7 linked regions of the Cricetulus griseus genome follow. The main gene of each other region encodes a partner of the protein of the gene in region 7 in a complex. Links are inferred from orthologs where the notes say so. Each region holds a gene or a part of one and is shown on either strand. Other genes may lie near its edges. The genes, in order: Uxt, Asdurf, Pfdn2, Polr2e, Wdr92, Pdrg1 and Pfdn6.

Region 1 (4,293 bases), on a different chromosome or scaffold from region 7:
CTCTTTCGGTCAATGAACTTGAGAGCTTCAGCCAGTGTCAACTCCAGGAAAAAACCATATCCCAAGGCCACATAGATGCGGGAAGTATCTGGGCTGAGGAAAGAAGTCAGAGGAAGTGGAGGAAGTCTTTATTACCATTTAGCACATTGTATAGTTGAAGGTGTTTCCTATTCCCTCCAGTTCCCTAAAGTTAAGGCTCTGTAAGGGCCGGTATTTCATGTTCATTCACTTCACACCCACAGCATGTAGCTTACATCCTAGTGCAATATAAAAGTGACCAGAGTCTGGTATATAGAACATATTAAGAAATACTTGTTGCATGAAAGAAGGAAGAAACTCGGAGGGGAGGGAATACACTCACACCATTGTGTCAACGAAGAAGTTACAGCCCAAATCCACCTGCATATATAACTCCGAGTGCTTAGTTTCCTGTAGGGCCAGGAGAAAAGAAGTAGGTGTCAGTGGCCAATTTTTAAGGCAGGAAAAAGGTTTTGTTTTGGGGTTTCTCTTCCCATCTTCCTTCTTTGTACACATATACAAACTGATACCCAATTTAAAAGCCTTTACCTGGAGTCGCTCAATTACATTTCTCAGTTGAAGGTATACAGACAGCTGCTCATATACCTTGTCTCGATGATCCAGCACCTTTCTGATACGTGGAAATAGAAGAGTGATCATTAGGCAGCCCTATTCCTCTTGAGATATCTCACATCATGGCCTAAAAGGCATTTTAAGCCAATTATGGTAGTTCACGAGTGTAATCCCAGTAATTGAAAGACTGAGGCAGGAAGATTATGAGTTCAAGACCAGCCTGGGTTACATAGTGAGATCCTGTGTTACACACACACACACACACACACACACACACACACACACACACACACACACACACACACACACGGAGACATGAGAGCGAGCGAGCGCATAGTATAGACAGAGAAAGACACACCAAGTATTTCAATAAATACAAGTCAGACTGTATTTCATCCTGAGCTCTAACTCTTACTAGCAATGTGACTTTGGCATTAGGAAACCTATTTGGGACTTAGTTTCACAACATATAAAATAGAGATGACAGTATTACCTCATAGGAACCATTAGACTCAAGTGTTTACTATAAAATGCCAGCCAAATGGTAAACACTGTATCCTTTCTATCCATCACTATTACAAATACTGCATTGTACTCAGTGCCTTATGCCAATTAAAATGCTCCATCTTCACCCTACACATACCTTCCATGCTCACACTGCTCTAGTTCCAAACTTTCTGTTCACATTAATAATGACAGCAATACTAATCATCTAATTATTGAGTTTTTAGTATGTTTCATCCACCGGAGCTAAATTCCTTTTCAAAACTATCCAGGTTATTTGTTTTTTATTTTCTGAGACAAGAACTGAGTTTCCCAGGCTACTTGTGAGTACACAAGACAGTTCTTTCCTCTCAGCCTTAATACAACTGTAGTATAGTTGGGTTTATGTAAAGTTTTAAAAAGTATTCTTACTTAATGTATTTATTTTGTGTACATGTATGGGTGCCGTGGTACACCCATGTGAGTCATAGGACAGCTTTTGGGAGTTTTTTTGTTTTCACTATGTGGATCCCAGAGAGCTAGCTCAGGACATGGAAGCAAGGCAATCCATCTTGCTGGCTCCATTGTCTTCTTTTTTTGAGACACAGTCTCAGAGCCTAGGCTGTACTCATCTTTGAAATATAGCTGAGGATGATCTTGAGCTCTGGATCGTCCTGATTCACCCATCCCAAGTACAGGGATTACAAGCCTGTGTCACAACACTGGGCTTTATTTTATCAAAACCATGTTCTACTGTTAAGGCTGGCTTGAACATCCTGGCTAAAGAAATGAATTTTTCCACCTCTCCACTAGATAGGACTACTGACATGCACCACAGAGCCTGAGCCTGGCTTCATTCTAATTTTTTCCCCCTTTTAGAGACAGTCAAGTTTATATTCCAGGCTGGTCTCCAACTTCGAAGATCCTCTTGCTTCTGCCTCCTTCGTGCTGGAATTACAGTCCTGTGTTATCAGTCTAGGCTTTGGGTTACATTCTTTACCTGGGTAGACACATTTAAAACTCAAAACCACCACATTAAGAAGGCTCCATAAACTTTCCCATTCCACAGATGAGCAAAGTTTATAAAGCACAGAGAGGAGAGGTGATGTACAACTTTTTCATAAGTAATGGCTAAATGGCCCAGTCAGAAATGTCGTGGGTTTTTATGACTATTTTAATCCGACGAACGACGCCAGAGGCTCCACTACAAGGGCCAAGTTCCAACCAAATCGCAGCCCGGACGTCAACCCCTCTTCCCGGCCAATCCGAAAGTTTTCCCGGGATTCTGTCCCACCCACCACGTGGAATTTCTCAAATGTCACGCCTAGAATCTGCGTTGTCACTCACTGCAAGTCTCGCTGCAGTACGTCACTGATAAAGGCCTCGTACCGCAGCACTTTCTCTCCTACAGTATCCAAGGCCCGCCGTTTCGGGGGTGTCGCCATGATAGGCTTCCTGGGGAGTGAGGAGGGAGAAAAACCACGTTGAGTGCTCCTGTTTAACTTCACAAAGTTCTCTCCAACCTCTTAACGTTGGGTATGACTTCTTTCGGCTCATGCTACGGGGTTCCTCCTTCTGCCCAACCCGACTCTAACACGCAGTCACTCACCGGTACCCAAGCGCCGTGCTTACCTTAGGGCCACCTAAGGTTAGAATGAACCGCGGTTTCCGGGTGGCGCGGGTGGATGACGTGTTTCCAGCATGGAGGGGCGGTCCAGAATGAGAGGAGACCGCCTGAAAGTGGAGCGCTGAGGCGGGATCTTAAGGAAACCCTGGAGAATACTAGGAAGTCAGAGGGCGGGCTGTCTGCTAGCCGGCTAGTGGTTGACAGCCGCGGGTAGCTGTTTCGGGTGAAGTCTAATGAGCTTTGCCGGGTTCTGAGGGAGGTTGGACGCACAGGAAGGTAGGGAGAGGGAGTAAATCGTTTACAGCTTGTTTGAATCGCGCGCGCATGTTTGAGCGAGCGCGGCAGCGGTACTGGAGTTAAATGCAGTTGTGAGCTCCCATGATGTGGGTGGTAGTAACGGAGTTCACATCCCCTGCAAGAACCTTTTGTGCTCTTAAATGCCGAACCATTTCTGTAGCCTTCTCGCCGGTCTTAATTGTTTTTTTTTTCTTATTTTATCTTTTTTGTCTGCATGCGTGTGCACTATGTACGTGCAGTTCCCGTGGAGGCTAAAAGAGGGCGTCGGATCCCCTGGAGCTGGAGCTACTGAATATTTGTGAGCATTGGGAATCGAACCTGGGGCGTCTACAAGAATAGCCAGTGCTGTTAACCATAGATCCATCTATGTAGTCCCCACCTTTTTTTTTTTCTTTTAAAATCATTTCTATTCTTTGAGAATTTCATAACATGTATGCAATGTATTTTTGCCATATCCACTCCCTACTCCCTCCTTCCAACTCCACCCAGACCCCTCCTACCTCATTTCCCTTCCACCTTCAAGTCCTCTTTAGCAAAACAAACAAACAAACAAACCTCACTGAGTTCACATAAGCATTTGATAATTTAAAAAGCACAAGATTGCCTATAGACTAGTAAGGATTATGGTACTAATCTATAAAGAGGGCAGTATATCCTGTGGCAATTGGTAAATTTGAATATTGCTTATTTTATAAACACATACGCCGGGCGTTGGTGGTGCACGCCTTAAATCCCAGCACTTGGGAGGCAGAGGCAGGCGGATCTCTGTGAGTTCGAGGCCAGCCTGGTCTCCAGAGCCAGTGCCAGGATAGGCTCCAAAGCTACACAGAGAAACCCTGTCTCGAAAAACCAAAACCAAACCAAACCAAACCAAACCAAACCAAAACAAAAAACCCCAAAACATACACGTATATTTCACACACATGGTTTTGGGTTTCATCCTCCGTAAAAGGAATGGGCAGGAGCACATAAAAAATATTTAAACAGACACAAATTTTAAGAAGTTCTTGGATGACTTCTGCTTGGTTGCTTGCATTCCATGATCCAGACTTAGGCAGAGACTGGCAAAATGCTGTGCTTAATCACCCCACATCATAGTTATATGGTCCATCATTGGAGTCCTCTACTGAAGATGGGCTAACTTGTAGTTAAGAGTGAATAATTCTCTCTATTTTTATTTAAATGTTTAGCAAGTGAAGGGCTGAGCCTGGAGGATAACCTAGATGCTAGACTCCCCTAAATGTTTTTCCCTTTTGAAGGTCCTAGAACACTTACCTCTATCTAGAATGCATTTC
Region 2 (4,225 bases), on a different chromosome or scaffold from region 7:
AATTTACAACATCAGGACATGATTTGCATAGTGATGCTCAACAATCCTATTATCACTTATTTTTGAGCTTCAGTAATATTCAAAACAGCAATTTATCAAATATAAACAGATACAAAGCCACTCGATACTTGCCACCTAGAAAGGGCTGTTTGCATAGTATGTGCCATTATGTCATGTTACTGTCAGTGACAAAGGCTACCACAGCCACAGGGTTATAATTTACTCTTATAAAACAACATGGAGACCTTTTCTGATCAATGAAGGTTCTTTATATTACCACACGGGCACAATACTATAGTTCTTTGCTGCTGTCAAACTTCAGACATTTGATAGAATGCCAATTCATGATTATTACAGATTGCCACTGCAGTTAAATGCCCATGTGTTTTCACGACTGTTTGTTTATTCATCAGTTACTCTAAAAGAAGCTCCAGGTCAAGTCTCATACAGCGTTTATACATTCTGCCAATCTGGTCTCCAGAAGTTTTGTATTAATTTGCCTTAGTTCTAATATTTCATAAATGACAATATCAGAAATGTTGAAAATGTCAGTCATTTTAAAATGCTTGAAAGAGAACAAAATCATTTCTTCATTTAAGATATATTTTTTTAACAGTAAAACTACACATGAGACAGCAGTTTATTTATGAACATGTCATAAAAAAGGAATTAAATAGGTTAAGTTCTTGGAGCATTAAAGTTTGCTGTGGAAAAGGAAGTAATTGTTTCTTTTTTTGTTAAAAATGTAATAGGGAAAGAATCCTGTCAACTTTGAGATTTACTGATACATGCAGAAAAACATGAAAAACAAACTAGGATACTTTAGTTTTAAATTAGTATGTTAGAATTTTGTAATTTTAGCATAAATGATCTAATTCCTGATTTTAATATACTGTATACTATTCCGGATTCCAACAGTAACTTACCCGATTCTTCTTCAGGTTAGAAAGTTCATCCACAAGAATTTTTTGTTCTTTAATCTATTAAAATAAAGAAAAACCTAAAGTAGACGTTTTCAAAGTATGTTTGGTGAGGAAATTCTGAATAATGGGACTGGGGGCTGTCACATACCACCTGTCTAAATGGACACTCTACAGGGCAACAACACCCAGCTGGACTCCGTGGAAAACAGCTGGAGAAGGAAAAGCTGACTTAGACTTGCCAGCTGCCAGTTACCACATGGCTTATACCTTAACCAAAGTGAGCCACTGTTCACCAAAATCAATACCCACCCTTTAATTAGTTTTATAAAGTTTTGTTGTACACTTTTTAAAAAAAGAAAATGAATGTGTTTCTCCCCTTCCCCAACAACAATTACTTTTCATGTATGTACTAGATGATAGCCAGACATTCAGATAAATAGTATTGGATGCCCTACCTGGGGAGATACAGCATCATTTTTCATCTTTGCATCATTCTGTTTGCATGGCAAAGACTGCATACTGCTGTTATCATTAAGCTAGGCTTGTTTGTGACCATCAAATGAATGCCTAACTAGGCAATAACTAATTTAAGTAACCACACACCATCACACACAGTAATAAGAAGCAAGGTCTTTTTTAAAACTCACACCCGCCCTAGTGAGTATGCATCCTTATGTCTCCACGATGGCAGAGGTGAGAGTTATAGTGATGAACTACAAAGCCACACGAGTTCATCTTCCTTGAGACTCAAGTCTGCTTGTATGGTGTTTTATGTTCATTTTAGGAAAGACAGGTAGACATCTCACTTTAGCTGACACCAAAGAAAACTGTGATACAGTGGGAATAAGGTCACTAACCCAAGATGTCACTTGGGACAGAAAAAAAAAAATGTAGAATTTAAAACGTTTAATACTCTCCACTATACATGTTTAAAGACTGTCTGTAATTGGAAGTTAAGATTAATGGTATAGTTCAGCAAGGTGGTGCAACCCTGAAATCATGGCTGTCAGGCAAGAGAATAAGGTCATGCTCCCCTCTCAAACAACAGTGTTTGCGCCTGGCCTGAGAGACACGAAAGCTCAGGAAGGAAGAAAGGAAGGAAGAAAGGGAGGGAGGGAGAGAGGGAGGAAGGAAGGAAGGAAGGAAGGAAGGAAGGAAGGAAGGAAGGAAGGAAGAAAGGAAGGAAGGAAGGAAGAGAAAAGGGGAGGGAGGCAGACAAAGATTAACTTGCAAGAGTCCTACTTAGAGACCATCAGATAAATGTATTTTAGGATCACAGTGGAGGACACAGGCAGCTGGGGACACCCTGAGTCAGAACAGCCAGTGACAGCGTCTGGAAGGACACTGGCAGATTTCTAAACTTTCGGGATGGATGTCAAGGATGGCCCCCAGGCGGGTGCGTAGCTAACAGGGTGAAGCAGATCCACAGAGCAACAGATCCGCGTGAAGGGAAGGGGGACGGTAAGGGGACAGCCCCACCAAACCTCCGCCAGTGTCTCTCCCCCCCCCCCTTTTTGGGGGACAAGCTTCTGTGCCTCCCTCTCTGCAAGTCTGCAGGAAGGAGGGGCAGCCTGAGGCGGGTGCCAAGAACCGACTACGGAAGCGAGGAGCACGCCGCCGGGCTGCCGGGCGCCGCCGGGAACCCCAGCCGGAAGGCGCTCCCCGGCCACCCACCGCACCTTGCTGTTAAGGGCCTCCGTGCGTGCATCCGACTTGTAGGGGGGCACCGGCGCGGCGCGATAGTCTGCTCGTACCCCACTTCGGGGCATCTCCACGCCGGGTCGCACGCCGGTGAGCCCACGGGGATGCACGCCGGTGAGCCGCCGGGACGGAACCGAGGACAGGAAGCCCTGATCCGGCGTGCGAGCTCTCAGTGGACCCGCCCCTTCCGGCATCCCGACCAATGGAGTACGCACACTCACCCCTGCGCAGTAGAGGGCGGTTGGGGGAGTATGGGTGGGAGACTAGACATAGTTATGGGCATGCGCAAACTGGTTTGAACTAAAGGCACAATTGCCTGGTTGCGGAGTTTATGAAGGCTCTGTGTCGTCCCCTAGCGGATCCGATGTATAATAATAATAATAATAATAATAATAATAATAATAATAATAATAATTATTATTATTATTATTATTATTAAAAGGTTCAGGTGAGCTGAGTGGAGACATGAGTATCTGGATCAGTCCAGGTGAAAGCAAAGATATTTTGAGACCAGGTGTGGAGGGGTATAGAGAAAAAGGCATCCTTAAGGTCTAAAACTGAGAAGTGAGATGTCGGGGGGATAGTAGAGAGGAGTGTGTAAGGGTTAGGAACCACAGGATGGAGGGGCACTACCATAGAGTTACGGAGGTCCTGAACCAGACAAAAAGTCCCATTAGGTTTTTTTACTGCCAGTATAGGGGTGTTAAAGGGGGAGGAGGTAGGACGAAGTAGCTTTTTCCTTAGGAGGTCAGAGATAATAGGTTTAAGTCCCTTAAGGCTCTGGAGTGGGAGTGGGTACTGAACTTGAGCAACGTACCTAGAGGGGTCCTGTAACTGAATGACAAGGGGGGATGGTGTCTAGCCACAGAAGGGTTCTGGTAGACCTTGGGGTCTACCTGAGAGGCTGGTAAAGGAAATGACGTACTGGAACCTGTAGGGTGAGTAGCTAGGAGGAGGAGGAGGGGAGCCGCTGGCGAGTCTGGAGTTGGGCGAATGTGGGGAGCAAAAGAAATAGAAGCTCCTACCTTAGCTAGAAGGTCCCTCCCTAGTAAAGGCACAGGACAAGTCGGTATAACCAAAAATGAATGAGTAAGGGGAATCCCCCTAAAAATACAGCTAAGCGGTGGAGTCTGCTGAGGTAAGTAAGGCTGTCCTCCTACCCTGACAATAGGAAGACGAGACAGAGAGGTGGGTCCCCAAAACTCCTTTAGGACTGAGTATGTGGCACCAGTGTCCAAAAGGAAAGAGATAAACCGCCCTGATACTTTAATGTCCACCCGGGGCTCCCTTTCAGAGATGATGGTGGTCGGGTCAAGAGAGCCTGGGCCCTGTCATTCATAGTCCTCATCCATAGCCAGGGCTAAGAGATCAACTGGAAGGCCGTCTGTGTTTGATGTCCTCTTGTCACCTGGGACACGGGGACAGACCACTGACCAATGGCCTACTTCCTGGCATCTAGGACATGGCTTGCTTGGTGCATGGGGGTTCGGGCAACCCCGGGCCCAGTGTCCTTTCTGACCACACTTGAAGCATGGACGCTGCGGTACTCTGGCCCCAGAGGGCAAGGGATCCCGGGCAGATGCTGAGTCCAGTCAGACGGC
Region 3 (2,957 bases), on a different chromosome or scaffold from region 7:
TAGCCCACAGGTTTGCATCCTGGAACTCTTCGTCTAAAGAACGTCAGAAAGGCACATGGCCAAGCCTGTTTCGGCAAACCCACACAGCGTTCTCGTCAGAGCTCCTGCCCCACTTCAAATACTTATTAAATTCCAATCTGAGAATCAACATTTTGTCTCTGAATCCTTTTTAGGAGGGCACTTAATAAGTAGACACCTTTACTTGCAAGGGAAAGGCCAAAGTATAAGCATTTCTGATACTGGGAGCCATTGACCTGGCAGAAACAAAACCTGCAAATCATATATTATTTTTTGTTTTATTTGAAACATGGACTCACTATATGTAGCCTTGGATGGCCTGGGACTCATTATGTAGACCAGGCTGGCCTGGAACTCAGATCTGCCTCCTGTTGTATTCCAAGCACTAAAATTAGGGCATGGGTGCCGCCATGCCCAGCTGTATGCTATCTTTTGCCCTCAATGTGGCCGGCCCTAAATGAGAGAAAGTTTCAGGCTACTGCTAAGCATTCTGACCAAAACATTTAATTAACAAAAAAATATTACAATAGCACAATAGCAGAGAAAATAATAATAATAATAATAATAACAACAATAAAAAGAAATTAGAAGTGGGAATCAGGGTTAAAAAAAAAAAAATTCAGAGGCTTTAGTTCCTAAGAGACCAGCACTCCTGCTGAGCTGGACTTCGCCCCAGCCCCTTCTGAGTTTTCCTTGGCTGCTGGCTTCTCATCTTCCCCCATAAGACGAATGTTGTGCTTTTCCCGAAATTCATTGAGTTCTTTCCCCTTTGCCTGAAGCTGCTGTGACAGTGTCTCGATGATCTTCTGTATCTAGAAGGTAAGGAAAAGAGGTTATAGAAGGATTGCACGTCTCCCTTCCCTGACCTGGAATGGACTATGATTAGAGGAAGTGAAACAAGATAATACCAATCTCACCTTTAGCCAAGAATCAAGAAAGCCCAGACTCTTATGTGATTTCTCAAACATAGTGTCTTATACAAGGGAATCATCTGAGCTACTTATGTTATTTATTCTTCGACAATTTCATAAATGTATATAATATATTCTAACCACTGTTTCGTCCACCTCTACCGTGAGTCCCCCATCTCATAATCATATCTCTGTCTTGTTTTGTGACCCACTGTGTTTAACCAGGACCATCCTTGTGGGCATGGGTCTGCTGGAGCTATCTACCCGAGGATGAGCAACTTACCAGGGGCTGTATCACCGAACACAATGACCCCCCTCCCCTCCAGCAACCTTTAATTTCAACAGCTCCCCAGGGAGGGTGAGCTGCTTATTTTTAAAATATCATTCATCATACTATGGTTTCTTCTCTTAGGTCACATTTTTTTTTTTTTTAAGCACTGATTTATAGCTAGCTGGGGCTGGCTTCAAACCCAAGATTCCCCTGACTCATCATAGCAAGTTAATCACCAATGTATGCCACCCAGTCAGTACTCTTTCTCCTTTTAAAATGTCACTCATGGTATCTTTAAAGGCCTGGTTCAGTTATCCAAAGAGAGCCTATGAAGTTGCATTTTAAACTGATTCTTGACTGGAGGTGTACCTCAGTGGCAGAGTTCTTAGACCTTTCATTATTCATAAGGCCCTGGATTTGATCTGCAGCACTGTTAAAACTAGTTCTTCAGGTGATTTTGGTTCAGGTATCCATGGACTACACTGTGAGAAACACTGCTCTACCCACCCTCCTCCCAGCTCAACCACATCAAAGAGACTATGGAAAGGGCACACAGCCAACAGCTCCTCATGGAAGGAGTTGGGACTCTGTAAACGTATAAAGTGCACAGACTAACAGACTGTAGACTATCTTCAACATGAATTTCTGCCCGGACTTTCCTCCCTCACATTCCCTAAATCTCTGGTCACCCCCGTTTAACCTCTTGGTTGCCCAAACTCCTCCTGGGGAATCCTTGCTCACCTGCTCTTTGTTGCCTTCCAAGGCAGGCAGCACCTCTTTGACAGTCCGCTCTACCAGCACGCCGCCAACCATCCGGTAGCACCTGCGGGTCTCATCCACTTCCTTCAGGGTATCAATCACTAGGCTAGGGTAGGAGAACAAGACCCCAAAATTCAGCACCACTCTACTGCAACCCTCCCTCAAAAAGGTCCATCCAATTGTTCTATTGTTTCTCTGACTGTCTTACCTGTGTTCATTCAATTCCATCTCTAGCTCAGCAGCTTTGGATGCCAAGCCCCTCTGTTCCTGCCGAAGGCGATTAAAGCCAGCAATTACCTAGGAGCATGAGAGAGAAAAGATGAGAGATGAGACAGTGAAAATGCCAGAATGGCAAGGTAGATTTTTTATTCCCCCCATGTATTCATTTATTCTATGTTTATGAGTGTTATGCCTGCAAGTCTATATGTACGTGTACTGTGTGTGCCCATAGGCCAGAAGAGGGCATCGGGTCCCCTGAAACTGGAGTTACAGATGGTTGTAAGCCACCACGTGGGTGTTGGAAACTGAACCTGTGTCCTATTCAAGAGCCAAGTTCTTTTAACCCTGAGCCTTCTTGCCAGTTTCCACCCCCCCAGAGGTTTTTATTTTTAACTCTATGGATATGTGTGTGTTTGTGCACACAGAGACCAAGAGAGGGGGTTGGATTCTGCGGCACTGGAGTTGCAGGCCTGATATGGGTGCTGAAAATCAAACCTGGGTCCTCTAGAACCCTATGTACTCAAGCACCAAACCATCATCTTCTCAATCTTTGCCTTTTGTTTAGTTTTTGTTTTTGAGACAGGGTTTCTCTGTGGCTTTGGAGACTGTCCTGGAACTAGCTCTTGTACACCAGGCTGGTCTCATTCACAGAGATCTGCCTGCCTCTGCCTCCTGAGTGCTGGGACTAAAGGCATGTGCCACCACCGCCCGGCTTACAGTTACAGGTAGCCGTGAGCTTCTGGGTGTGGGCACTGGGAACTGAACTCTGGAAAGAAGGG
Region 4 (4,061 bases), on a different chromosome or scaffold from region 7:
AAACTGCTGGATCTCAGACTCAACACTCCCAGTATATTTTTTCTTTTTGAGACAGGGACTTCTTGCATCAGTGTTCTCAACCCATTGGTCCTGACCCTTTGAGACCATAGGAAAACATGAGTATTTACATTATGACTCCAAACAGCAAAATTACAGATAGGAATGTTAGGGTTGGGGGTCACCACAACGTGAGGAACTGTTTTTATAAAGGGTCACAGCATTAGGAAGGTTGAGAACCACTGCTCTACATAGCTGTCCTAGCACTCACTGTATAGACCAGGCTGTTCTTGACCACCTGCCTCGTCTGTGTCTGCCAGGTTCTGGGGTTATGGGCATATGATGCCACGCCTATCCCTGCACCCCTAATTCTCACAGGCCCCAGGACCTCAAAGGTATTGAAGGCAACAGACTGTCTGGGGAGACCAGGAGGCAGCTGCACAAGAAGGGCTCAGGCTCTTTAATAGCACCCCTCCCACTTTCAGAAGTGCCTGGGCTGTAAGGCAGAAACTACACAACACAGCAGATGGGAGCCAGAGGGCCCAAGAGCTGGTGCTGGGACTCAAGGGGCAGAGAATGGACACCAACCAAACAAGGGAAGGTTTCCAGGGGAGGCAGGGACAAAAGCAGGCTGGCGACTACAGTAGTCCTGCAGGCAAGGCTGGGCCTGGGTGGTACCCACCCTCACTGGCTGGACAGAGAGCAGGAAGACCACAGAGGGAGGGCTGTGACATGTTACCTTAACTGGCACCTGAGCCAGGGACTGGGGAATGCCACCAGAATTATGGGACCCCAGAATCAGGCCTCTGTTACTGGTCCAAGGGGCCTCACCTGGGAAGAACACAAACATCTGGTCTGTGGGATCATCGTTGTGGGCCACCAGCACTGTCAGGTCTGTGCGCCTGGGTCTTCCTTCACTGGGTTTGTCCCCAAACTGAGCCTTGAACTCCTCAAGTGTCTGGTCCAGCTCATCCTGGGTCACCAGGTAGCCACGGTCATGACACAGCTGCAGAGACAAAGAATCACCTGTCTTTAGAGAGGAAATGAACACTCAGCATGAACTCCGGGACTACAGTGCCAGACCTATCCCTGAACAGCCTGGGCTGCTCGGGGATAGCATGAGGAGGAGCACTTAAGTGACCCAGCAGTACTGGCCAAGCCACAGTCTGGTCCCCAACCAGGCCCCACCCCACCCCAGCCTCACTGGGCAGGCTAGGGTAGATCCCCTGGCAACTTCCACCTCTCAGTGCCCCCACCCACTCTTCCTGTTTGGTCTTAGGCGTGATGAGGGAAGAGTAGAGTGTAATCCAGCATCGGGTTGAGGGGCAGGCCTGAGAGACCAGGCCCTGGGGTCCACCCAACGCAAAAATTAAAACTATGCAGGCCTCTTTCTCAACTGGGGTCTGGTCTGTCTCTTCCCTCTTCGTCTCCTTCTTTTTGTCTTTTGTTGTTCAGAGACAGGGTTTCTCTGTGTAGCCCTGATGTCCTAGAACTCCCTCTGTAGAACAGGTTGGTCTTGAACTCACAGAGATCCGCCTGCCTCAGCCCTCTGAGTGCTGGGATTAAAGGTGTGGACCACCACTTCCCAGCCAACCTAAGTTTCTTGGGACAGGGTCTCACAATGAAGCCCTGAGTGACTTCAAACTTTCAAATAGGCCAGGCTGGTCTTGAACTCAAGAGACTGACTGGCCTCGGGCCCAAGAGTGATGGGATGAAAGGTATGTGCTACCAGATTAGTATTTTTACCTTTTCTTTATTTTGGTTTCTTAAGACAAGGCTTCTCTACAAAGCCCTGACTGTCCTGGAACTCGCTAATGTAGATCAGGCTAGCTTCGAACTTACAGAGATCACCTGCCTGTGCCTCCCCAGTGCTGTCGTTAAAGGCTTCTCTCTGTCACTACGCCGGGGCAAAACTGTTTTTTGTTTTTTTCAAATATTGTTTTTCACTCTGTGTGAAACAGTCGAGAAAAGTGCGTCAGACCCGCTCAAACCAGGGTTACAGATGGTTGTGAGCTGCCGTGTGGATGCTGGGGCCTGGGCTAAGTGGGTGGAGGGCTGCCCCGCAGGCAGAGAACCCAGAGTCTCTCCCTCCGGCCCCCCATAAACACGGTGTGAGCACGCAGAGAACCCCGAGTCTCTCCCTCCGGCTCCCATAAGCGCGGTGTGAGCGCGCAGAGAACCCCGAGTTTCTCCCTCCAGCCCCCCATAAGCGCGGTGTGAGCGCGCAGAGAACCCCGAGTCTCTCCCTCCGGCCCCCATAAGCGCGATGTGAGCGCGCAGAGAACCCCGAGTCTCTCCCTCCAGCCCCCCATAAGCGCGGTGTGAGCGCGCAGAGAACCCCGAGTTTCCCTCCTCCGGCCCCCATAAGCGCGGTGTGAGCACGCAGAGAACCCAGAGTCTCTCCCTCCGGCCCCCCATAAACACGGTGTGAGCACGCAGAGAACCCCGAGTCTCTCCCTCCGGCCCCCATAAACGCGGTGTGAGCGCGCAGAGAACCCAGAGTTTCCCTCCTCCGGTCCCCATAAGCGCGGTGTGAGCGCGCAGAGAACCCCGAGTCTCTCCCTCCGGCCCCCATAAGCGCGGTGTGAGCGCGCAGCAGCCCTCCCGAGGCAGGGTGCGGGCTGGAGGCCGGCCGGTCACTCGCCTGCATGATGGTCTTGCGGATCTTCCACAGCCGGTAGGTCTCCTCCTCGTCGTCCATGCTGCCGCCGTCGCCCGGGAACCGCTGCGCCTGCGCCGAAGCCGAAAAGAGCTCCTCCCACTCCTGCGCACGCAAAGCGTCTGCGCGGAACAACGGAAAGCCCTCCCCTTCCCGCTCAGCGAGCTCTGTTCTGTCTTCCGCCTGGAAACGCGACTTCCACCTTAGGCTGCGTAGCGGGCAGCCCCGGCGATCCGCTGCGCGAGACCACCATCGAGAAAATGTCGCGATACTTGGCCGTCACAGCTTAAGAGTTCTCGAGAGGGAACTGGGCGCGTAGGCCACGCCTTTAACGCCGCCCTGGGGAGCCAGAGGCAGGCGGATCTCTGAGAGTTCGAGACCAGCCGGGTGTGCAGAGCGACAGGACCGCCAGGGCTGTTATACAGAGGAACCCTGACTCAAAAAACAAAACAACAACAAAAAGAAATGTCTATGTATCTTTTTCCTCTTTGGGGGGTGGGGTGGTTCACTGTGAGCCCTGGCCGGCCTGAAATTTGATATATAAACCAGGTTGTCTCAGTCTAGAATTAAAGGCGTGTACCAGCATGGCCAGCACTGGAAAACCAGATGCTCGCCATACCTCCCATTCTGTCCCGCCCGAGCTTGTCCTCAGAGTCCGCAGGTCATCTCTAATTCCTGCCTGGGAACCTGTGCTGACCCTGACTTGGAAAGGCAAGTTTCCAGCAAACTAGCGAGGCCCCCACCAAGTCTGTCTGACCACTGAACCCACTGCATGGGCTGCAAAACTGGGCTGCGCCTGGGACACCCTGGTTATAGAAGCCACAAACGCAGAGTAAGGGGATAGAGACACAATACGTTTTTGGAAAAACATATCTAGATCTGGGAGCAATGGTGGGTGCATTTGGTCCCAGCACTCTGGTGGGCAAATCTCTCTCTCTGAGCTCCTGACCAGACCCTGGGGGTTTTTGTGGGGTTTGTTTTGGTTTTTGGTATGGGGAGGAGCCCTTGTCATTAACTTTCAGGTGACAACAACCCTCTCATTCTTTCGGTGGTTGGTTTTGTTTTGTTTTGAGACAGGGTTTCACTGTGTAGCTCTGGCTATCCCAGAACTTGTCTGTAGACCACACTGATCTCTAACTCACAGAGATCTGACCATCTGACTGCCTCTGTCTCCTGAGTACCGGGATTAAAGTCCTGAACCACTACTTTCAGACAACTCTCTCATTCTCGGTGGTAATGAATGGGCAGAGCCTGAGTACCTGGGACATTAGGAAAATAATTGGTGCCACTGAGGGGAGTCAGTCCAAAGTGTAAGGATACATGCAAGTGCCTGTCTGTAGGAGTCCCTCCTCTGATCTTACCTCCTGTGGTGGTTTGAAAGGAGGCAGCCTCCAAAGGAATTGTT
Region 5 (4,161 bases), on a different chromosome or scaffold from region 7:
AATCCACTGGGTCCAACAGTTCTCAGCTCTGGCACTCACAAAACTCAACCAGCAGAAGTTCACATTGCTAGGGGTTGGAACAAGACATGGATATTTTAAAACTTACATAGCTGTCACTAGCAACCAAATATGGACACAGGAGAGCCACAGTCCATGCATTTAACCTGCATGTTTTTCTGCTGCACCCAAATACAATATTAAGTTCTGAAAGGCACCTTGTTTCTAAGGTTTTGCTTGCTTTTTAGAAGGAACTGTTCAAATACCTGTGGTTCTGTTTTGATACAGCACCTCTATAGGAGCCTCAGTAACTCATGGAATGAAGAGCATCCAAAACAGTAGTTGTTACTCCTGGGGTTCAGATCATGTGTGATACTCTCTTTTTTAGCCCTACCTATATTTTCTAAATGTTCTCTTATAAATACTTATTACTTTTATTTAAAGAAAATACAATATAATCTTGCTAGAATTCTTCAGAAATTAGAAGAGGAGAACACTATTTCATTTGGAATAACCATTACTGAAATGTATACATGTATCATAATTTGGGGCTGGAGAGAGAGCTCAGTGGTTAAGAGCACAGACTGTTCTTCCAAAGGATCCAGGTTTAATCCCCAGCACCCACATGGCAGCTCACAACTGTCTGTAATTCCAGTTCCAGGGAACCCAACAACCATGGCAAAACATCAATGGGCATAATAAATAACCTGCAAAATTTTTTTTAAAATGTATCATAATTCTTGGGAAAACAAAACACAGTCTCTAGATGCTTCTGGCTGAGTACTGACTGGCATTTGCTCCTAACATTCCACTTCAAAGTTTCTGTTATGCCAATGTTTCCCATGTCCAGAGTCCTTAACCTACACCAGTATTTAAAACTCCCAAGTTCATTCATTTCCGATTCTTTTAATAACTGTGCATTGAGTGGCTGGTCCTTACAAATCACTAGGAGACATTGTCCTTGTTGTCCAACTTAGAATCAACAGATCAGACAGTTTGCTTATTTCTGGCACAAAAGGAAAGTATTATAGGAGTGCAGATCAGAGACTCTGAGCTGGCCGCTGGAACAGCAACAGGTGTCTGTGAGTTAAGTGATGAACACAAGCAAGGGAGAAAAGACCAAGCCATGTTTAGATTCTCCAAGCTGAATACCTGGCTAGAGTAGGAACTAAACTTGAAAACGGGCTGTCAGCAAAGCTCAGTGAGAGATGGCACTTCACATATCTTCTCATGAAAGTTTATTTATCCGTTACCTGCCCTAAACTCACCTCCTTCAAGCCAACTATTTGCATACTTACCAACCCTCAACATCTCATGAGACTTGTCATTTGTTTTAAGTCAATCCAAATTAAAAATTTTTTAAAACTATAAAACTGTTAGCCAAAGCTCAGCAACATAGCAAATGGCCTGTAATCCCAGACCACTGTTGGGGGCTGGCATGAGATTTGTGAATTTGAGGCCGACTGGATAACACAGAGAATACTCATCTCAAAAAGAAAGAAAATGAAATGTTAATTATTTTCATCCTTTTGTAATTGGCTCACTGGCAGCCTTTTACAAAACCTGTAAATCTGGTCTTGTACCATCCTCCTAAAAGTCCTTCAGTCTTGTCCTGTTTTTCTTAGAGGAAAAGGGAGACTAAATCTGTTAAATGTCTTAGAGCCCTTGCAACGGTCCCTACTTACCCCTCTTGTGTGTGTATGATCTTTCTTAGTGGGTTTTGTGATTGTTCAGACAGGGTCTCAAACAGAAATTCTCCAGCTTCTACCTCCCGGGAGTGCTGGGATCAAAGGTGTGCACCACCACTTCCAGTGTGTGTTTTTGGTTTTTTAAAAAGATAATAAACTACTTCCTACCACTATCAAAGAGCTTTCCCATAACCTATTTCTTCTGGAAATCTCATGATCTACTCTGACTTTCCCTAGTTTCTGCTCACCCTAAATTTGTTGTTTTTACTCTTGCTCAACTGTCTATTAGAAAAAGCATTTCGGTTTACATGTATGCGTTCTTGTTTTGGCTGTTTAACTATCTCCCCAACAGTAAATAAACTCCATAAGATCCGTGACATTGCCCTTCACATGCCTGGGACTACCAGGCATTCAAGTGATAGTTCTAGAAAGGATGGGGTACTTAGTTGTCGCCACAAACTTCGTAGGTGTCCCGGTGCCTCCTTCACTCTGCTTGCATGTATTGCATATATGTACTAGCAGACTACAATTGCAAATAGCCTAAAAGGTCCTCGAACGTAAACATGAAATCTCAACTTCACTTCCCAGAAACCTTGCAACGGACTGCACCAAGGATGGCGGGACAAGGGGCTGGCAGTGAGCCAAGGTACTAGTTCCCCAGTGAGATTGTGGGATGCCAAAGTTTTAAGTCCGAAGTATTTCTCAGTCTATAACCTCCTTTCTGGCCCTGTTGGAGCAAAGCTGTGGCAAAGAGTGATGCAGACCCCAGAACACGCGCGCCCTAACAGAAGTCCGATGCTGCACCCACCTCCCGCAGCAGTTTCAGGTCCCCACGCTGGATCTCGTACACCTGGATAACGCCGGTGCCCCGAGCGAAGTTGCCCATCGTTACGAACTTGGCACTGCAGGGCACCCATTTGCAGTCGAACACCGTGTAGTTGAGGCCTTTTTGAATGTGGACAATGATCTGAGGCTTCTCAAACGCGGACATGGTGCAGATGCAGACAAACGCTAACCTGGAAACCAGACTGCAAACATCGCAGGGGCGGTTTGTCCCTCCCTAGCCGCACTCTAGCCGGACGCTCTAGCAAGTTGGGCTTGGGTGCCTATGATAATGCCGTATGAGCTGCCGAGGCCGCACCGGATATTTCTCCACACACGGCACAAACTGACTTACTGCCCTTACCACGACGTTTACACATAGACACATTAGAGGCTGAGAATGCTTCGGCTGCGAGCGCGTGGCGGTATGGCGACACAAGCAATCAGGCATACCGTAAGGCAGCCATTCAGACACGCGGACCAATCCCGCCTGAGGCCCCCGACTTGGGCCCCACCTCAGAAAAGGGCGGTGCCCTCACGTTGATTGGCGGAGGCTTGCGCGTGTGCAGTATTACCACGCGCGTGTTCAGCCGGTTGTGCCCACTTGGTTCGAGCATGGCCGAGATGGAAACGCAGAACACCGGGGCGGAGGACGGCTTTACTCCCGTCACACACAGAGGGGGCCGGCGGGCGAAGAAGCGACAGGCGGAGCAGCTGTCAGCGGCGGGACAGGACGGAGACGCCAGCCGCATGGACACGGAGGAGGCCCTGCCGGCGAAGAGGCCGATCTTCCCTCCGCTCTCGGGCGAGCGGCTCCTGGTGGGGACCGAGGCGGGACGGGGTGGGGCCGGGCGTCCGGATGAAGGATCCCTTCTGGTTTGAAGTCTCAGCCGGCAAGTCTCCAGCCACCTCCTGAATATGTGTGTGTGTGTGCTTTGTTGCAGACTGGGAAAGAAGAGACGAGAAAAATCCCGGTCCCCGCGAACAGATACACGCCATTAAAAGAAAACTGGATGAAGATATTTACTCCGATAGTAGAACATTTGGGACTTCAGATACGCTTTAACCTGAAGTCAAGGAATGTGGAAATCAGGGTAAGCAGAAGGGTAGTCATTTCTCAGCCTACCGAGTTTTCTCCTTCAGAACTGAAAATAAAATGAATGCATTTTCCTGCATAGAGCTTATGCTAGGAAGTGGTTTTCTTCATGGTTATAGTATTCAACACAGGCGTTGGCTGCACTGCTAAATTTGGCTCTGAGATCACACCAGTATATAGTTTATCCTGTGACTGTCTTCTGTAATGCGTGTTGAATTGATGAGAGGTGGGAAGTGTTACATGGATGTACATTAATAGGTGGTAATTGCAGGTACCAATCACAGTATAAGTACTGTAAATTTTAGTGATACTCTTTTTGGAGGAAATATGTGTTACTAATGTATTTTTCTCTCATTAAATCACTTCTTTCTTTAGTATATCGCCTGTGCCAAATTAGTTTTCCCAGGTCACAGTGCTTCTTCTGTTTTGATATTCTATCATCCTCAGCATTTCAAAGGCATAAAAGACAGATGCGTGATTGAGCCTGCCTTTTGAGTAGGAGACCGAGTCGTGATTGTTTCTCCCCATTTTCCCCCTGCTGGTACTTTTGGTGGCTTT
Region 6 (4,133 bases), on a different chromosome or scaffold from region 7:
CTGGGCTTCAGTGAGCCCCAGTTTGAGAATGTCCAAAGGCAGCTGTGCGGTGGAGCCCAGGGCCCCCACCCCCAGATCTGTGTCTGACCTATCCTGCTCCCAGCCTAAGCCTGCAGCTATAAAACTTAACAGTAATGACCCTATTTATACAAAAGAGGCCATGAAAATCAAGTGAGCCAGTGTATTAAGGACCTAAGTCGCCAGAAGTCAATAAAGGAGACTAAAAAGTGAACATCCGATCTGGGCCTTAGGGCTCAGTGAGTATGTGTTCACTCTGAAAGAATGAGGCCCTGGGTTCGAATCCCAAGCACCCACATAAATAAAAATCCAGACACGGTTGTGTGGGACTGTTACCTCAGCATTGGGTACATACACAGAGCTCACTGGCTAGCCAGCCTAGCCCAAAAGCGAACTTCTGGTTCAGTGAGAGGTTCTATTTCAAGGCAGGAAGGTGGAGAAAGACAGGAAAGCAGCTGACACCCTACTCTGGCCTCTGCATGTGTCTGCATGGACACAGGTGCCCCCACACTTACATGCATGCACCACACACACACACCCCCACACACACACAGCACATACACCCACACAAATGGCATACAGCTCAGTGGCAGAGCTGAGCGTGTGAGAGGCACTGGGTTAATTCCAGTTATATACACAGATAAGCAAAATGGCATCGGCGAGGCAAAAACTCCCAGGCCTCGCCTCTGAGCCCCCAGCTTTGCAACTGTACTCTTACTGACACTTCACTGCTCACCCTGGACAATTTCCAGCTCCTTCTGTGTGGGTCTCAGCTTGCTACTGAGGACACTGGATTCAACAAACGCAGCAGCCAGACGAGATTTAAAATGATTACTGTTTCCTTTTCATCTTCAGGAGAGAGAGAGAGTGTGTGTGTGTGTGTGGGGGGGTAATTTTTATCACCCATTATTTACAAACCAGAAGCTGAAAGTATCACCGGTTAAATATAAGTCTCCCTGCCACACTCGGTTTCTCGGCGTCGTTAAACAGGACTTAGGATTTCTGTGTCTCCAAAGCTCTTAACTCTACCACCCATAATATGTAACTATTTTCCCATCAGTGTTCGTTGTTTCCTACTGGGACGACATTTCTAAAGTCGGGATGTTTTACTCCTTGCTCCATCCAACGTGGTACACGGTGGATGCTCAACAACCCTTTGAAGGGAGAGCAAAGAAGGCAGCGCACTGGGCTGCTCCCTCAGAGACTGAAGGGGGCGCTCCTGTCCCGCTCCCAAAGCTAGACCCGCCCCTCCGGCGCCCCGCTGATGCGCATGCGCCACCCCTCTAAGGGCCCTTTTTTTTTCACTGCGCAGGCGCGCCGGAAGTCCTCAGCGCGGCGCGTGCGTGGATAGAGCAGAAGGGGCGTTGAAGCGGTGCCGAAGGTGTCTTGAGAGCTGTGTGTCGCCATGCTGTCCCCTGAAGCGGAGCGGGTGATGCGGTACCTGGTCGAAGTGGAGGAGCTGGCCGAGGCGGTGCTGTCGGACAAGCGGCAGGTGAGAGACGCGGCGGCGGCTAGCTTCGTAAGCAGGCAAGCGCGCGGGGTTCCGGAGCGAGCGCCTCCTCTGCGCTGGGCAGTAGCCTCCCTTTGACCCTGTCCCTGCGGGCCCCCCGGAACCTTACCCTCTGCATGCGGCTTCCCCGACCCCCATCGTGAGTCAGGTTGCTGAGACCCGAGCGGCATTTGGCTGGACGGTAGGGTGACGTGGAGTGGGGCGGGGGAGGCTGGAGGGCCTCGTAGACCCGAAAGGGGAGCTTGGCTCTGGATCTATGATTAAGTGGTGAGTCTCCAAAGGGAGTTCTGAGTGCTGAGAATGTTATCTTTGGATTTTGATTGATTGATAGGTTGGTTTAGACTCTAAACTTTAGAGGGACTCATGTGTCTTGGGGCTGGCCTCGAACTCACTGTGTAATCTCGGATAGCCTTGAACAGTCCGTGTTTGTCCGCCCTCCTGAGTTCTGGGATTATAGGCGTGCATGCACGGGACTTAGGTTTTAAAAGTCTTCTCTAGCTGCTAACTAGTGTGCAAAGAACCATTGAGATCAGTGGTTCTCAACCTTCTAATGCTGCAACCCTTTAATACAGTTCATGTTATGGGTACCCCCCCCAATAAAGTAATTTTCGTTGCTACTTCATAGTTGTAATTTTTTTTGGGGGGGGGAGACAGGGTTTCTCTTTGTAGCTTTGTAAACCAGGTTGGCCTCAAACTCACCAGAGATCCGCCTGCCTCTGCCTCCTGAGTGCTGGGATTAAAGGCATGTGCCACCACCTCCCGGAACCATAGTTGTAATTTTGCTGCTGTTATGAATTGCAATGTTTTGCAGTGATCTTGGGTGACTCCTGTGAAAGGGTTGTTCGACTCCAAGGGTCAAGACCCACAGGCTGAGAACCACGAATTTAGTTATCCAGATCTGGATTTGGACCAGATGTTAGTGATGGGGTGAGAAATATACTTTGGAAATGGTCTCCAAAAGCTGCCATAGTTACTCCTGTGGTCTATAGTGAGAAGGCCTCTGTGGTTCACAAGCAGCAGGATTCCTGTGGACTCCAGCCCCAGAGTCATTGCCTGAGTAGCTGTCATGGTGGTGTACGTCCATGTCTGGGGAGACTGTTAGATTTTCCTACAATAGCCTGTCAACAATAACTGCCCAGGGGAGACACTAAACTCTCTGATGACCCTGGTACATGCTCAGGTTTGAATTGGGCTGTGCAAATGATTCCTAATTGGTAAACTTTTTCCTAGCACCTGCTCTGGAGGAAGGAGGCTCCTGTACAGGCCGAGGGGCTGGCAACTGAGTGGGTAAAGAAACACGCTCATGCTTCAGTCCATGTTAACCAAGACATTGGCCTCCAGCCAGGAAGGATTCCTTGTCTCTTCAGGTTGGGGCGGGAGGCAGCTGAGTTCCTATCTGCTTCTGTTTTCAGATTGTAGACCTGGATACCAAGAGGAATCAGAACCGAGAGGGCCTGAGGGCCCTACAGAAGGACCTGAGCGTCTCTGGTAAGTTGTAACATCCTCACTGAAGCCCTGGAAACTGATGCAGTTCTCCTGTGAAGGCCTTTGTTGTCCCTGCTAGAGAGCAGGCAGGAGGCTGGGACTGTGTGACTCAGCCTCACAGGAAACGAAAACAGCTTGTGGGGAAGAGCGGGCAAACGTTGCAGGTCAGACATATGCTGTGATTCAGGATCTGAGCTGCTCACTTCAGTGACAGGCCATTAGCTTATCACTCATCAATGGCACACAGCACTTAGAAGCAATAATAGATCTGCCCTTATGTTCCACATGAGGAAAAGCAGTGTAAACATACAACTGAAAATTGTGGAAAGCTAAAGATGGAGTTGGCCATGAGTGGATGTTGAGACTGTCTAGGAGGGAGGAGATGGGGCTCTTTAGATGAGCCAGGTGGCTGTGACTTTGGCAGTGTGAGCAAGTGGGGGACAACCTGAAGCAGTTCTGGAAGGATGGGCAGCATTCAGGGCATAATGAAGGGCACTGACGTCCATTCCACTGGCTGCTTATCTCACCGGAGTAAAACCCAGAGTTGTCCTGCAGGATTGATTCCACATGACCCCGCCCCACACACTCCACCATGTTAGCCCCCACTTTCTCACCCACTCATTGACCCACTGGTCTCTTGGTTGTTCTGACACCAAAACACTGCCAGTTCTGGCTGTTGCCATCCCTCTGCCTGGGCTCTGCCCAGGTGTCTAGGGAAGATACCCCCCCCTTTCCTCAGTTCTCTGCCTGGATGTCACATCTGCAAAGAGCCCTTGTACCTCTCCTGATGCTTCCCATCACTTAGCACTATGTGGAAAAACAACTTGTTTATTTACTGTCTTTTGCTTTGTTATGAATTCCACAAGGGCAAGAACTTGTCTTGTTGGGCTATGTTCTTAGCATCCAAACAGTGCTTGGCAGATAGTCAGTGCTTCAAAAAGAAGAAATAAAACGTGTTGAAGTAATGTCTGTTTGCTATTTCAGAAGATGTGATGGTTTGCTTTGGGAACATGTTCATCAAAATGCCTCACCCTAAGACAAAGGAAATGATCCAGAAAGGTAAGGTCTCCTGGAATGTTCAAGGACATGGTCACTTCCCTACCAGTCATTATCCAGAATT
Region 7 (3,172 bases):
CAGGAGGATCTCTGAATTTGAGGCCAGCCTAGTCTACAGAGCGAGCGAGATCTACGATAGCCAGAGCTACACAGAGAAACCCTGTCTCAAACAAACCAAAACAAACAAGTTAGATTCAAACCAATGCTAAGACAGCGGTGAAGACAAGCTAATGATCTAGGGCCCTTTGGGGACAAGTGCTCTTGGGTGACCACATCATATCCTGGGCTCTCAGGCTAGAGAACTGGGTTCTATGGCTAAACTGACACTTAACAACACACTACATTGCATCCTAAGGTTATATTTCCCATCTCAGGGTTGCACCAGCCAACATAAGGGAAGATAAAGGGTTATATGAACAGGCAAGAAACAGCTTGAGACATTTCAGACTCAAAAGAAGGCACATAGGCAAGAAGACCCGGATTTTAGTTCTCAGCACCAGGAAAACCACCACTGAAACACGGCCAGAGATTCCAGTGTCAAGAGCTCTATCTCAGGGAAAAAGAGTGTGTACAAGGCACTGGTTTTGTTTACATTTTATTGGCTATTCTAGTGTAGACCCTGGAGCTGACTCAGCCCTCCCTCCTCTCCCCCTTCCATGGGGTCAGGCCTTCCCAGGAGCCTTTGCTGCCTGGGCTCGCTGGAACTCCTGCTGCAGCTGAGCAAGGGTTTCCCTCTGTTGCTCTGACTGCCTCTCAAGGTCCCGCAGCTGCGATTCGTAGCGCTTACTGAGGAGGGAAAGGGGAGACAAGCAGAAGAGAGATCAGTGGGGGCTCACTGTTGCGCGGCATTGGGGGACTGATGGGAATTCCGAGGTTTGGGGGATGGGGGTGGCACACTGAGGGCTGGTGAGATGGATCAGTGGGTTGGACCGTTCTCCTCCGAGGCTGACACTTCAGTCTCCAGAACCCACGTGGTAGGAAGGAGCAGGCTGCCGCAGGCCGTCCTCTGACTTCACATGTGTGCCACGGACACATGTCCCCCCACCCCCCACACTCGTGTAACGTGGAAGAAAGGCTTAAGCGGGGGCGCCTTTAAGCCCATCCCTGAGGCCAGCCTGGTCTACACAGGGAGTTCCAGGGGAGCGGGGCGCTATGGGGAGCTACCCAGCACGGGGTAGGCACTCACATTTCGGCGGTGATGTAGTCCAGCCTCTTCCCCACCGTGGCCCGAGCCTCCCCTAGCTCCTGTTTGACAAGCACGGGCCCCAGGAGCTTGAAGACCACGTTGGATCCATCCAGCAAGGCCAGTTCCTGGAGAGGGGATGGGACGGACGGCTGATGAGCTAACCGTGCCCGGCCGCGTTCCTCTCGGCCCCGGCGCCCCAGGTCCTCACCTCCTTCACGATGTTATTTTCTGTTAGCTGTGCCTCGAGCTTCTGCCTCCCTGACATGGATTTGCTCAAGTCTGAGGTGGTGAGAGGAAACGCATGGTTAAAGGCATCAGACGGGCCGAGAACCGCACCCAGCACGGGCTCGAGACGTCACCGGGTCTGCAGCGGAGAGGCTGGGTCGGTCGGTGGTGGGGACGAGCAGGGCCCCCGACGCCAGGGGCGGCCCGCAGGGCCCCCGAGGGAGCACGACGTCTCGTGGGGTGTGCCTGAGCTGAGGGCGGACGGGGCAAGGCCACGCCGCCTCCGCTCTCTCTCTTACCCTTCTGCAGCTGCTGGTATTTCTCCACTTCTCCCTGCAGCTTCTTCTGGATCAGCTCGGCCATGGCGGGGCGGGGCGGTGAGGAGGGCGAGCCTCCGGGGCGGTGAGGAGGGCGAGCCTCCGGGGCGGTGTGAGGAGGGCGAGCCTCCGGGGCGGTGTGAGGAGGGCGAGCCTCCGGGGCGGGGCGGGGCGCTCGCGGGGACTCGAGCGAGCAGAGGAAGGCACCCGCGCCCCCCTCTCTGCCCTGCGCGTCCGCCGGCAGCTCCTCGAGGCTCCGCAGCTCTTCCTCGTCCAGGAGACACCCCTGGGAAGCGGGGGGCGAAAGCAGAACCCCAAACCCTCCCGCAAGCCAGACCCCCAACCTCCTCACGTTATGCCCACTGTCTAAACGCACCCGGAAGTAGACAAGGCATGCCGGGACAGAGACGGCGCCGGAAGCTGCGTTCTGACCTGTGGGAAACTCGTCCTACCGAAAAGACTGCACCCGAGGGGTTTTATTAGGCAAGGCAGAAAAAAAGGAACTCGTCGCTACCGGGATTCGGGGCCCAGACTTGCCTTTTAGTCCTCATTTGGTCCTCGGGCGAGCCTCTCCGCTCAGTCTGGCACAGGCGTGCCCTCACTCAAGATGGCGCCGGCGGCTTCAGACTCCCGTCCGGCGGTGATTGGGTGAAGGCCGTGGGACGCCCGGAAGTTTCTGAGAGGGCCGTGGGGCTGCCGAGGGCAGTTTCGCACGTGGATCGTTGTTTGGCGTCGGTCACAGCCGCGATGGAGACAGCTCCGAAGCCGGGCAGGGGTGGCCCACCCAAGGAGGACAAGCCCCAGGCCAAGAGGAAGGTAGCGGCTTGGGTGGAGGCGAACGCCGCCCTCGGGCTCGGGGCTTCCGATCGGGCTCGGGCTCGGGGCTTCCGATCGGGCTCGGGCTCCGGGTCCGGCGGGTGCGAGCCCTTGCCTCCTCCTGTGCCCCTAGAAGCCGCGGCGGTACTGGGAGGAGGAGGCCACCCCCGCCGCAGCCGGCGCCTCTCCGGGGCCGCCCCGGAAGAAGGCGAGGACTCGGGAGCCGCGACCCCCGAGGTCAAAGAGCGCGCACCCCGCCAAGAAGTCTCGGCTCCGCCAGAAGCCGCGGGCCCCGAAGGACGCCCCAGACCCGAAGAGGAGGCCGCAGCGGACCCTGTCTGGGGTGAGCCTGGGGCTGACAGGGTGGCCCCGCGCCTCTGAGGACCAGAGGAACCGGGCCCATCGAGTCTGCCCGTCTCCTTCCCCTCGCTAGGCCCAGGACCCGTTCCCGGGACCCGCCCCCGCCCCCGTGGAGGGCGCCCGGAAGTTCTGCCGAATTGACAAGTCCAGAACCGTGAGGCCGCGGGGACCGTGGGGAGGCAGGGACTGGAGGCTGGGTGAGGAGGTGGGTGGCGCCTTGTCTGCTGGCGGCCTTGCTGGCACCTCACGGATGCTCGCTCGGTGCGCCAACCTTGGCAACCATGCCGTAGCTCCCGCATTCGAAGCCGAAAACCCGGAGCAAACTTGAGACGGCTGAAGCGCAGGAG

Evidence for each region.
Region 1: Pfdn6 (region 7) and Uxt share a complex: the UniProt entries of both Homo sapiens proteins name them as parts of the PAQosome complex. The link is inferred for Cricetulus griseus from reciprocal best matches to the Homo sapiens genes PFDN6 and UXT.
Region 2: Pfdn6 (region 7) and Asdurf share a complex: the UniProt entries of both Homo sapiens proteins name them as parts of the PAQosome complex. The link is inferred for Cricetulus griseus from reciprocal best matches to the Homo sapiens genes PFDN6 and ASDURF.
Region 3: Pfdn6 (region 7) and Pfdn2 share a complex: the UniProt entries of both Homo sapiens proteins name them as parts of the PAQosome complex. The link is inferred for Cricetulus griseus from reciprocal best matches to the Homo sapiens genes PFDN6 and PFDN2.
Region 4: Pfdn6 (region 7) and Polr2e share a complex: the UniProt entries of both Homo sapiens proteins name them as parts of the PAQosome complex. The link is inferred for Cricetulus griseus from reciprocal best matches to the Homo sapiens genes PFDN6 and POLR2E.
Region 5: Pfdn6 (region 7) and Wdr92 share a complex: the UniProt entries of both Homo sapiens proteins name them as parts of the PAQosome complex. The link is inferred for Cricetulus griseus from reciprocal best matches to the Homo sapiens genes PFDN6 and DNAAF10.
Region 6: Pfdn6 (region 7) and Pdrg1 share a complex: the UniProt entries of both Homo sapiens proteins name them as parts of the PAQosome complex. The link is inferred for Cricetulus griseus from reciprocal best matches to the Homo sapiens genes PFDN6 and PDRG1.

What each region holds. Positions count from the first base shown.
Region 1 is NC_048604.1:125,813,291-125,817,583, forward strand, and holds the start of Uxt (protein UXT), read right to left. Parts: upstream 2,801-4,293; 5' UTR 2,707-2,800; exon of another isoform or gene 2,530-2,706; 5' UTR 2,520-2,529; coding exon 2,422-2,519; intron 650-2,421; coding exon 568-649; intron 430-567; coding exon 362-429; intron 94-361; coding exon 1-93. UniProt on the Homo sapiens protein: Involved in gene transcription regulation. Acts in concert with the corepressor URI1 to regulate androgen receptor AR-mediated transcription. Together with URI1, associates with chromatin to the NKX3-1 promoter region.
Region 2 is NC_048595.1:402,525,087-402,529,311, reverse strand, and holds the start of Asdurf (ASNSD1 upstream open reading frame protein), read right to left. Parts: upstream 2,801-4,225; 5' UTR 2,693-2,800; coding exon 2,603-2,692; intron 981-2,602; coding exon 927-980; intron 1-926.
Region 3 is NC_048598.1:21,541,739-21,544,695, forward strand, and holds the end of Pfdn2 (prefoldin subunit 2), read right to left. Parts: intron 2,257-2,957; coding exon 2,168-2,256; intron 2,066-2,167; coding exon 1,942-2,065; intron 831-1,941; coding exon 654-830; 3' UTR 501-653; downstream 1-500. Other genes in the region: Klhdc9 (kelch domain-containing protein 9), read left to right, coding at 1-37. UniProt on the Homo sapiens protein: Binds specifically to cytosolic chaperonin (c-CPN) and transfers target proteins to it. Binds to nascent polypeptide chain and promotes folding in an environment in which there are many competing pathways for nonnative proteins.
Region 4 is NC_048598.1:100,836,432-100,840,492, forward strand, and holds the start of Polr2e (DNA-directed RNA polymerases I, II, and III subunit RPABC1), read right to left. Parts: upstream 2,801-4,061; 5' UTR 2,699-2,800; coding exon 2,642-2,698; intron 1,028-2,641; coding exon 829-1,027; intron 1-828. UniProt on the Homo sapiens protein: DNA-dependent RNA polymerase catalyzes the transcription of DNA into RNA using the four ribonucleoside triphosphates as substrates.
Region 5 is NW_023276807.1:89,068,134-89,072,294, forward strand, and holds the start of Wdr92 (WD repeat-containing protein 92), read right to left. Parts: upstream 2,801-4,161; 5' UTR 2,677-2,800; coding exon 2,494-2,676; intron 1-2,493. Other genes in the region: RNA-binding protein PNO1, read left to right, coding at 3,123-3,326, 3,452-3,601. UniProt on the Homo sapiens protein: Key assembly factor specifically required for the stability of axonemal dynein heavy chains in cytoplasm.
Region 6 is NC_048599.1:26,995,208-26,999,340, forward strand, and holds the start of Pdrg1 (p53 and DNA damage-regulated protein 1), read left to right. Parts: upstream 1-1,333; 5' UTR 1,334-1,423; coding exon 1,424-1,510; intron 1,511-2,940; coding exon 2,941-3,016; intron 3,017-3,997; coding exon 3,998-4,072; intron 4,073-4,133. UniProt on the Homo sapiens protein: May play a role in chaperone-mediated protein folding.
Region 7 is NW_023276806.1:232,074,549-232,077,720, reverse strand, and holds Pfdn6 (prefoldin subunit 6), read right to left. Parts: upstream 2,006-3,172; 5' UTR 1,696-2,005; coding exon 1,632-1,695; intron 1,387-1,631; coding exon 1,316-1,386; intron 1,233-1,315; coding exon 1,108-1,232; intron 708-1,107; coding exon 584-707; 3' UTR 501-583; downstream 1-500. Other genes in the region: Wdr46 (WD repeat-containing protein 46), read left to right, coding at 2,397-2,465, 2,599-2,808, 2,899-2,979, 3,116-3,172. UniProt on the Homo sapiens protein: Binds specifically to cytosolic chaperonin (c-CPN) and transfers target proteins to it. Binds to nascent polypeptide chain and promotes folding in an environment in which there are many competing pathways for nonnative proteins.